Linked DNA regions of Tribolium castaneum. The protein of the gene in region 2 interacts with the protein of the main gene of each other region in a biochemical or structural test. Links are inferred from orthologs where the notes say so. Each region holds a gene or a part of one and is shown on either strand. Other genes may lie near its edges. The genes, in order: frequenin-2 and Dop2R.

Region 1 (4,284 bases), on a different chromosome or scaffold from region 2:
TCTTGACTTTTTAAACATTTGGTTGTAGATAAAACTTTCTTTTTTATTTCTATTTTTACTGGATACAGGAGCTATTTTTATTTTTACATTTTTTTACATTAAATCAATAAATACATTTATATAAAAATTGTTATCGTATTTAAAACAAAATGTCTAAAACGATTACGTTTTCCAAAAATGTTATTTCTTTCCTCAATCCGACTCATAGTAGTTTAAGATTTAAGTCTAGGAAATTAAAGATTGTCTTATAGTCTACTAATGTTGGTTAGTGATCCTTTAATTATATGTTTAGTTTCGAGAGTTTAAAATAATTATTTACAATACAAGGTGCAAAAATGGTGGATGCGCCGGGCTCCACCAAAAAAAAAAAAATTTCTAAAACAAATTTCAGCGCAAGAAATTAAAGTCTGGCATTATTTTAATGTTTTAAAAAACTGTTTTCATAATTTTGTTTAATTGATGTGAATAAGGTTTTCTATTTAATTGGACTAATTAATAGCCAGTGATATGTCCTTGTGCTATTTTTTTAATTTCAGTTTTTATATTATATGCTGCACTGCATATACATCAAAATCTTTTTTAGAAGCTAATTTTACAGTTAGATATTTGCTGAAAAAAATCAAAATTTAATTATAAAATCTGACCATTTTCTTAATCAATTTTTATGAAAAGACAAGACAGTTTGACCTTCCAAACTTTTTGGTTGCCTTGTAGAGACATTTATTTACTTTTTTTGAAATGTATTACTTATTTATAAAACAGGACACAAGAAAAATGCCTGGTAAGATTAATTGTAACCTCGGCGCAAAAATGGTGGATGCGCCGGGCTACACCTACTAAATAATCTCAAGCGTAGACTTGAAGAAATTAATCACTGTAAATTTTTCCACCAAAATACAAAGCCTTAAAGTATACAATGCAGAAACACGTTGCTGCTGCTGATAAAAGTCTTTGTGCTTCGGTTGTCGTACTTTTCCAAGTTTGCTTTTAAATATAGGTACTCGGATCAGATTGTGTCATTAACTTACCAAATATTTATCATAAAATTAATTTCTGTTAAAGGAAGTATCGTCTGGACGTAATTCAAAGTTATCCAATTGGAATCGCCCTTTTTTGCGTTTCTCGTGTAAATGGGCGTTATTACTTACGATAATTTGGTCGTGAGCTACCAAACCTCATTCCCATACGGCGACATTCGTTAAGTTAACTGCAGGATGTGCGACAGTGAACTTCGTAGGGTAAAGGCGCAAGCGTAACTTCTATCTACCCTGTACAGTAGGAGTTTGAGTGTTACCCTTTAGTATTGTGCGATCGGTAGAAATTCGTACGTTGTTCTTGTAAGTTGGAAACGAAACACTCCAACATGGGTAAAAAAAATTCCAAGCTAAAGCAAGACACAATCGACAGACTCACCACCGCCACATACTGTGAGTTTTCTTGTGCAACTTTATGTTTGTTTTCAACTTGTTTACAAAATGTGTCACCAGCTTGAGGCACTTACTTTCCTTTTATTAAAAAAATACAACACAGTTTGTGTTAACACAACTTATGTAACAGTGTTTCGGGTTAAATTGCTTCAAACAGCTCGGCTGTAATTCATCTTAACTCAATTTTCCTGAGGATGGTATGACAAGACTAACTCATTTTTTTGTCGCAAAAGAGAAAGTCCGCTGCGTATATTTTTCTTCTTAAATAGATTGTTGAACGTTTAGACCTTGTTTGCTCTATCAACACCATTTAAGAGAACAAACAGTGCGTAATGCGTTTGGACGTGGATATTACGAGAGCTAGAAATAAATGATACAGCTTTTAAATTTACATAGGCGGGCAAATATCTACACCCTGAAGGCAAATAACGCCCGAGTGCAAGTGATTGGAAAACATGTGCGCAATTTCCTTACGTTTCTCCAAATTCAACAGTTACTTGGCCACTAACATCCAAATCCCTACACCTTTTTTTTGCTCTTAATAATTAATGCTCCCGCAATTATTACGGGACTAAGTACCTGCTAAACGTTACACCTATTCTCTAATTAGCTGGTCGTTGTATTTTCTGTGGTTTGTTTTCTCTGTTAATGTTTTCACTAATTTGTAGGCAATCAGTTCAAACAACACCCTTATTTAAAGCATCAATAATTTATTTCTGGAGCTAATTTCGCGTCTTCGACGTAAACAGCCATCGTGAAAAGCGAAATGGCTTTTTATTTATGATTATTATTTATCATTCCGTAATACATCTCAAAACTAATTTCCGTTCCGTCCCGAACTGTCCTAGTTATTTTATTATTTATCAATAACGTATTATTGATCAACAAGTGTCTCCAATTGGTTTTCGTGCAATAAATATTTTTTTAAATAAATATAAAACCTTCAACTTTTATAACCTGTCTGGTTACGCTCGACGCCTCGAAATAAAAATCTCTAAAAATAACATTTCCTTAATATTGGAGGTAATAAAATTCGACATTTTTCGCATTACCATTTTCCTAGTTTGTGCGGAAACTTTTGCACGGAGGCATGTTGACTTTTAGAGCTTTTATTTGTTGTTGGAATTTAAAAGTCTTCTATTCTAACAAAAAAATCTTTAAAAATTTAAATTGTGGAACTTTTGTAATAAAATCACCGCTCCGTTTACATCAACGATTCAATGTTCCCTCAGTTGGATGCATGTGTTTTAATCCAACCGCAAATAAACATAGTCCTTCTTGACATTTTTTGTGTGTGTATAGGGTGCAGAATTTTGAATATGCGGATAGGAGATCTTCCAAACTAAGAGGTTTAGAGAAAAAAGAGTGACACATTCTCGGGTCCGTTTTTTGAGAAAATACTTTTGGGCAAAACCGCATCCCGCTATCGTTTTTTGTTTTCGACTTATAAACAAAAGTTGACATTTTAGCGAAATCTTAAAAAATTCATATCTTCCTTATTATAAAAGATACACATTTGAAACAAAAATATTATAAAGCATTTTTTACAAAAAATTTATTAGTGTTATTTGCAGTTTTTTTTAATCATTTGTTTAACTGTAATAACACAAAGTTGTATTTTTTTAAATAGGAATCATAGTTGGCGGTGACATTTTCGAAAAGCTTATTTTTTTCTGAACTGAACACAATATAAATACAGTTTGATATTTTTATATACCTTTGATAAAAAATATATTTAAAATATTTGAAAGTAGTTTAATTAGGATTTTTTTTAATTTTTTCATGGCCTACTATATAAAAAAACGAAATGTTATGTTTTTTTAATATTTAAAAAAAGATATTACACAAATAGACATATCAAATCAGAAAAAATAAGCTTTTCAAACATATCACAGCCACCTATGATTCCTATTAAAAAAAAAATAAAACTTTATGTTAGTACAGTTAAACAAATGGTTAAAAAAACGCTGATAACATTATAACATTTTCTGTAAAAAAGTGCTTTATAATGTTTTTGTTTCAAATGTGTATCTTTTATAATTAAGAAGATATGAATTTTTTAAGATTTTGCTAAAATATCAATTTTTGTTTATAAGTCGAAAAGACGATAGCGGAATGCGATTTTGACCAAAATTATTTTCTCAAAAAGTGGAACCGAGAATGTGTCAATTGTTTCAGAAATCCCTTATTCGGATATTCAAAATGCTGCACCCTGTACAAGGGCTCCACTATCCTATAGTTTGCTTTTAGCATCAAATTATAATTTTAAATACAGTGTGGAACACGTAAAGTGAATTTACGCCACGAATTATGTGATAAATTGGGAAATATGTGGAAGGAGAAATCCATTTTACTCGTAGGATAAATGATTTCATTTCCGTACTTGTTGCATAAATAACTAATACTGGCGACGGAGACCTAATGACTGTAATTTGGCACTTATTGTTATGACACTTGTGGAGTAATCATTTTATGACAACAATCCAGCTACTGTGCAATAAAAATAAGTTTAGAGATTTTTCTGCTAATTTCGGGCCGATGAACATAAAATCTACGTTTTGCTGGTCAAAAATAGAAGTGGGTGAGTAAATCAGTTACACTGAACAAGAGCGCATTACGTGTTGGGGTGTAAAAGTGTTTCGGGCGATTAAAATCGGTTGCATGTTGCACGTGGGGGGTTGATGGGTTGATGTATGCTTATATCCTGAGCAGCCCATCCTTGGTATCACGTCAGTTGAAGGATGAACTTTGTACAATCGCATGCTGGTGGCAGATTGAGACCGATGTGCAAATATGCCCTTTAGGTAATCAAATAATGGAGCGCAACACGCACGTCTTCTGATCGATTCGATTAGTT
Region 2 (4,405 bases):
ATGTGTAAGCTGTTATATTTTTGTGATGATTACACAGAATGACGAGGAGCGCTATTTTTGAAGTCCAAGTTGTGGAAATGTCGGTTTTGCTCGGTCGGTGCGGTGGTGATTTTTCCGGGGAGTTCGCTAATTGCCAAATGAAATTATGTCGGTTTAGTATAACGAGCTTTTTCCGTTGGACATCGCGACTGATTAGATCCGTTATCGAGTTCTGGCCTCGTTCATTTCACGCCGCATTGCTTTAATGAGAGCGCTCGGCCCCAAACCGGATTAAGATATCTTTGCAGCTTTTCCAATTGCTATAAACTTCAATCCTGCGACGATTTTAAATTTAATTGCTCCTGTAATCGCGCTCCAAAAATCTTCTGATATTTCATCTACACTTGTTACCGACTTTATCACCCATTTATTCGATGCAAGAATACAGCCCGTCGGCCGTAAAGCGCGCTTTTAACGCCACTAAACCCAAATTGAAAATAAAAGCCGCACTCCACCTAATGACGACTTTAATTGTAATCCAAACCCCGGTGCAAGGAAAAATTTGACACTGGAAAGCGCCGCCACATCACCACATTTACGAGCTGTTGAGTGCCGCGCGCTGTCGAGCTCGCATAATAGTTTTACATCGGTATAATTAAATTTTCCCATTCGCAATTTCGATTAAAATGCGCAAAAACAATTTTCTCGCGACTAATCAACCGAAGGCAATATTTTCCGATGGAAAAGCACCGATTGCTACACAATACTACAAAAGGAAAATCCGCTCGACCGGATTCAGCGATCGAAAGAAATTAACGTAAAGGTGACGCAATAAAACATAATACGACGACGGAACACTCGAACCAATCTGGACCGCGGCCAGACTGCAACGCCCAAACCCAGCCATAAAATTTATCAGAAAAGGTGAAAACCCAATCGGGCCGAAGCCGACACTTTATGGAGTCATTTAAATGCTCCAAAGCCCACAATAAAAATAATACCGCTTCTCGCTAAAAGTTCATTTCTATTTTGGTCACCATTTCCTGATTCTTTACACAGTGACCCTAAAATTACCTGAAATAAAAATTATTTTTGCCCCATAATAAAGGCAAAGACAGAGTCGTCCAGAAAGCTACCCTTAAAAACTGCACACAATTTACCTTGTCCCGTCCGTCATTGCTCGTATTTCTGACGTGTAGCGATACCAATAATTTTTAATTTACACTGAATACATTTTTTAATGTTATTTTCATACACAAGATTATTGTCCCGTCCGTCATGTGAAAACAAAAAGTAAATTAACAAGAATTCGTTACACATTGCCTTGTTGTTCGGTTTCGTGGTTTCAAAAGTTTCAAAAGTTCCACCTCTTACTTCGAAAATAATTGTTGAAATTAGTGCTTTTTAAATTAACAGAAATTTATAACGATTGTTCAGCAATAAAAATGTAAATTTTTTGTGTCCCGTCCGTCATCGATTTGTATTTCTTTTCACTTGGTGTGATAATAAAATTTTCAGAGCCACAACAATATTCGAATATAGCGTAATTAAGTTGTTAAAATAATTTAAAACATCCAAAGGTTTCACACAATATGGTATACGTGGACACATCCCGTACTATCTTTGAGTTTTTTTACATAAGAACTGAAAATTTTGCCATCGACTTCCAAAAAAATCATTAAAATCTAAATGAAAAAGTTTATTTTAATTTATTCTCCACTTTTAAGGTTTCACCAAGAGCCTGTTCGCTCGCATTTTCCTTTTGACTCTAGTTTCAGTTTCTCTACTCTATCCAAAATTCTCCGTAATCTCAGCTTTTTGTTGTTACAAAAATTACACAATCTGAGACAGTTATAGTCACAGACTGCAATAATTTCGAAAGGAAACTGTATTTAAAATAAAATATTTAAAAAAACACCGCATATAAAATTATCAATAGCTTTTATGGCTAAATGGTTCAATTATGTCGCCCCTTAGAGAGATGCTGATTGTGTCATTGCATGGCACAGCCCTGGATCAAGTTGCCGTAAAACCTGCATGATTTCAAAGCGTAGCAAATTGCACCAAAAATTATTTATAACAAAATACACAGTAAAAATCTTCTTTAATTCCTTTGTGATGTCAGAAGGTGCGATAAATAGGGCCGATTTCTTTGGTATAACCGGTTGCATCCGTCGAAAAATATGAAGAGTTAAATGTAAATCCCGCGCGAATAATTCGCAAAATCTGTCGGCCTGAAATTGAGTTTGTAGATCTGTCAGATGCACCCTCTTGAACGAAATTATATCTAAGCCATTTCAATGCAAATATTGACGTTTAAGCGATAGAATTGTGTATTTTCGTCCGAGTTCTTATTTGTGATTTAGTGTTTTTCTTTATGAATCGATATTAGTGTCTGCTATTAATCAAAGTGAATCCAGTGTAAAGCTGCGGATCGATTTTAGAGGGCACGCGACAGGCGATTGAACGTGCTAATTACGCTCATATTTCGTAAAGTCGTTGTAAAAGAGGGTGAATTTATGTATCTTTGTCACGCGACAGTGAAGGGTTGAAGTGCATCGAGAAGAAGCGCCCCCGTATCCAGGTCGTAAAGTGCCTACATTGATCTGATGGTGATGACCCTTTGTCATGTTTATTACCCACCCTTCCGATTTGTGTTCGGCTCGATAACCACTGGACCGAGGGTGTGGGTGATAAAAATAACCGTAATTGAACTCACCAGCACGTAGACGGCGAACGGCATGACGACGACGGCCACCAGGAGATCGGCCAGAGCCAGACTAACAATGAAGTAGTTAGTGGCCGACTGCAGAGTTCGCTCCCTGTAAACACTCAAAATCACAAGCACGTTGCCGAAGAGGGTGAAGATGGGGAAGAGCACCAGGACCAAGGCCCAGTAGTTCCGGCTGCCGGGGGCCTCCGGGTGCCCAAAGCACGAGCTGTTGCTGCTGTTGGAGCTGCAGTTGAACAGGCGCTCGAAAGTGGCGTAATCCGAGTCGTTGGACAAGTTGAGATGGCTGAAAAACTGGTCGATGTCTTCGAAGAGGAGCATGAAGTGGTCCAGGCCCGGGTCGGACGAGTTCCGGGTGGCGTTGGCGATGGAAGCGTTCGCGTCCATTTTTTCAGGGATCATGTTCACGGCGGGATAACACAAGCAACTTCTTCCGGTGGCCCGCAACTCCGGGGTGGCACGCTATGCGTGGACGGGCCGCATGATCCCGGATTTTAATTACCTCGCGATGCTGAGACGAAACATGGTTGCGTGCACTGGTTTACATGACGGTTGCACCTTTGAAGCCGACTCGCGCGATGCTGGACACAGTCGCGTGCACTCCGGGGCACAAACAGAGGCGCTATGCGCCGGGACGCCGACGGTGGAGAGCGACGCGCACGGCGCCGCCCTGTCTCCCGCTGTCTCCGGCAGAGGCGTCCCGATACACGCACCGAAGGCTCAGCATTGACGTACTTGTTGAAATCTAACGAGACATTCACGACTACTCCGCCGGATTAAAAGTGCCACAAATCATACCAAAACCTCATTCGAACAGGCGACACGCATTCGGTTTCTACACAATTTCACAAGATTGAGATAAATCAAGCAAAAAGGCAGAAATATCTCCTTCAATATAAAAAAATTAAGCAAAAACAATAATTTTCCAATAAAAAACATGTGAAATGTAAATAAACATGACCAACAAACTTTTAATCCAGCCCAAGAAACAAGATTTTTTAACACAATTAAATTATAACTAACCCGGCGCATCCACCATTTTTAACAAAACTTGCACTCATCCGCGATTTCGTCCGCGTAAATTTTAATGCAGACTGATTATTAAAGGCTTATTCCTCTGCATATTGAAACCTCGATTAAATAAAAATTTGATTAATAATAAAGCTTTTTTCTCATTTTTGCATGATTAAGGAAAATTGTTTTAATTTTATTTAAACGACAGGAATACCGAACAACCGCTAGTACAAAAATATAAAACGTAAACTAAAAGAAACCTTATTTCTTGGAATAATGTAGTAAAATGTGGGAAGTTTACGGAAATTAAAATAACCATTTAGACAAAGCGGCACAGTGCATTAAAATTCCAAAGTCAACTAAACAACTATTTTTCAGCATAAAAAGTATTTATTCTTCGACACTGTCAGAATTTTGGATTTTTCTCCTGTGTAAGACAGTTTTGACAACTGTTTGGCATTTCTCAATACGAAACGTCAGATTATTTTTAACAGATTTTAAGCAATTTTAAGCCTTGTTGAGTCTAATTCGAAGAATAAAATGTTGTATTCAACTCGTTTTCGTGTAAATCGGTTCATTTATTTCACCTCGTGGATGGTAAACCTCTCGTTATCACTCGAGGTTTAAAAAACCACTCGTGAAATAAAACGTCCGATTTACACTCAAACTCGTCGAATAAAT

What was found.
Region 1: the proteins of Dop2R (region 2) and frequenin-2 form a complex in vitro, tested with the Homo sapiens proteins (2 studies listed by BioGRID, with this or other methods). The link is inferred for Tribolium castaneum from reciprocal best matches to the Homo sapiens genes DRD2 and NCS1.

The regions. Positions count from the first base shown.
Region 1 is NC_087394.1:35,444,716-35,448,999, forward strand, and holds the start of frequenin-2, read left to right. Parts: upstream 1-1,249; 5' UTR 1,250-1,363; coding exon 1,364-1,427; intron 1,428-4,284. UniProt on the Homo sapiens protein: Neuronal calcium sensor, regulator of G protein-coupled receptor phosphorylation in a calcium dependent manner. Directly regulates GRK1 (RHOK), but not GRK2 to GRK5. Can substitute for calmodulin. Stimulates PI4KB kinase activity.
Region 2 is NC_087402.1:3,954,342-3,958,746, forward strand, and holds the start of Dop2R (dopamine D2-like receptor), read right to left. Parts: upstream 3,113-4,405; coding exon 2,699-3,112; intron 1-2,698. UniProt on the Homo sapiens protein: Dopamine receptor whose activity is mediated by G proteins which inhibit adenylyl cyclase. Positively regulates postnatal regression of retinal hyaloid vessels via suppression of VEGFR2/KDR activity, downstream of OPN5.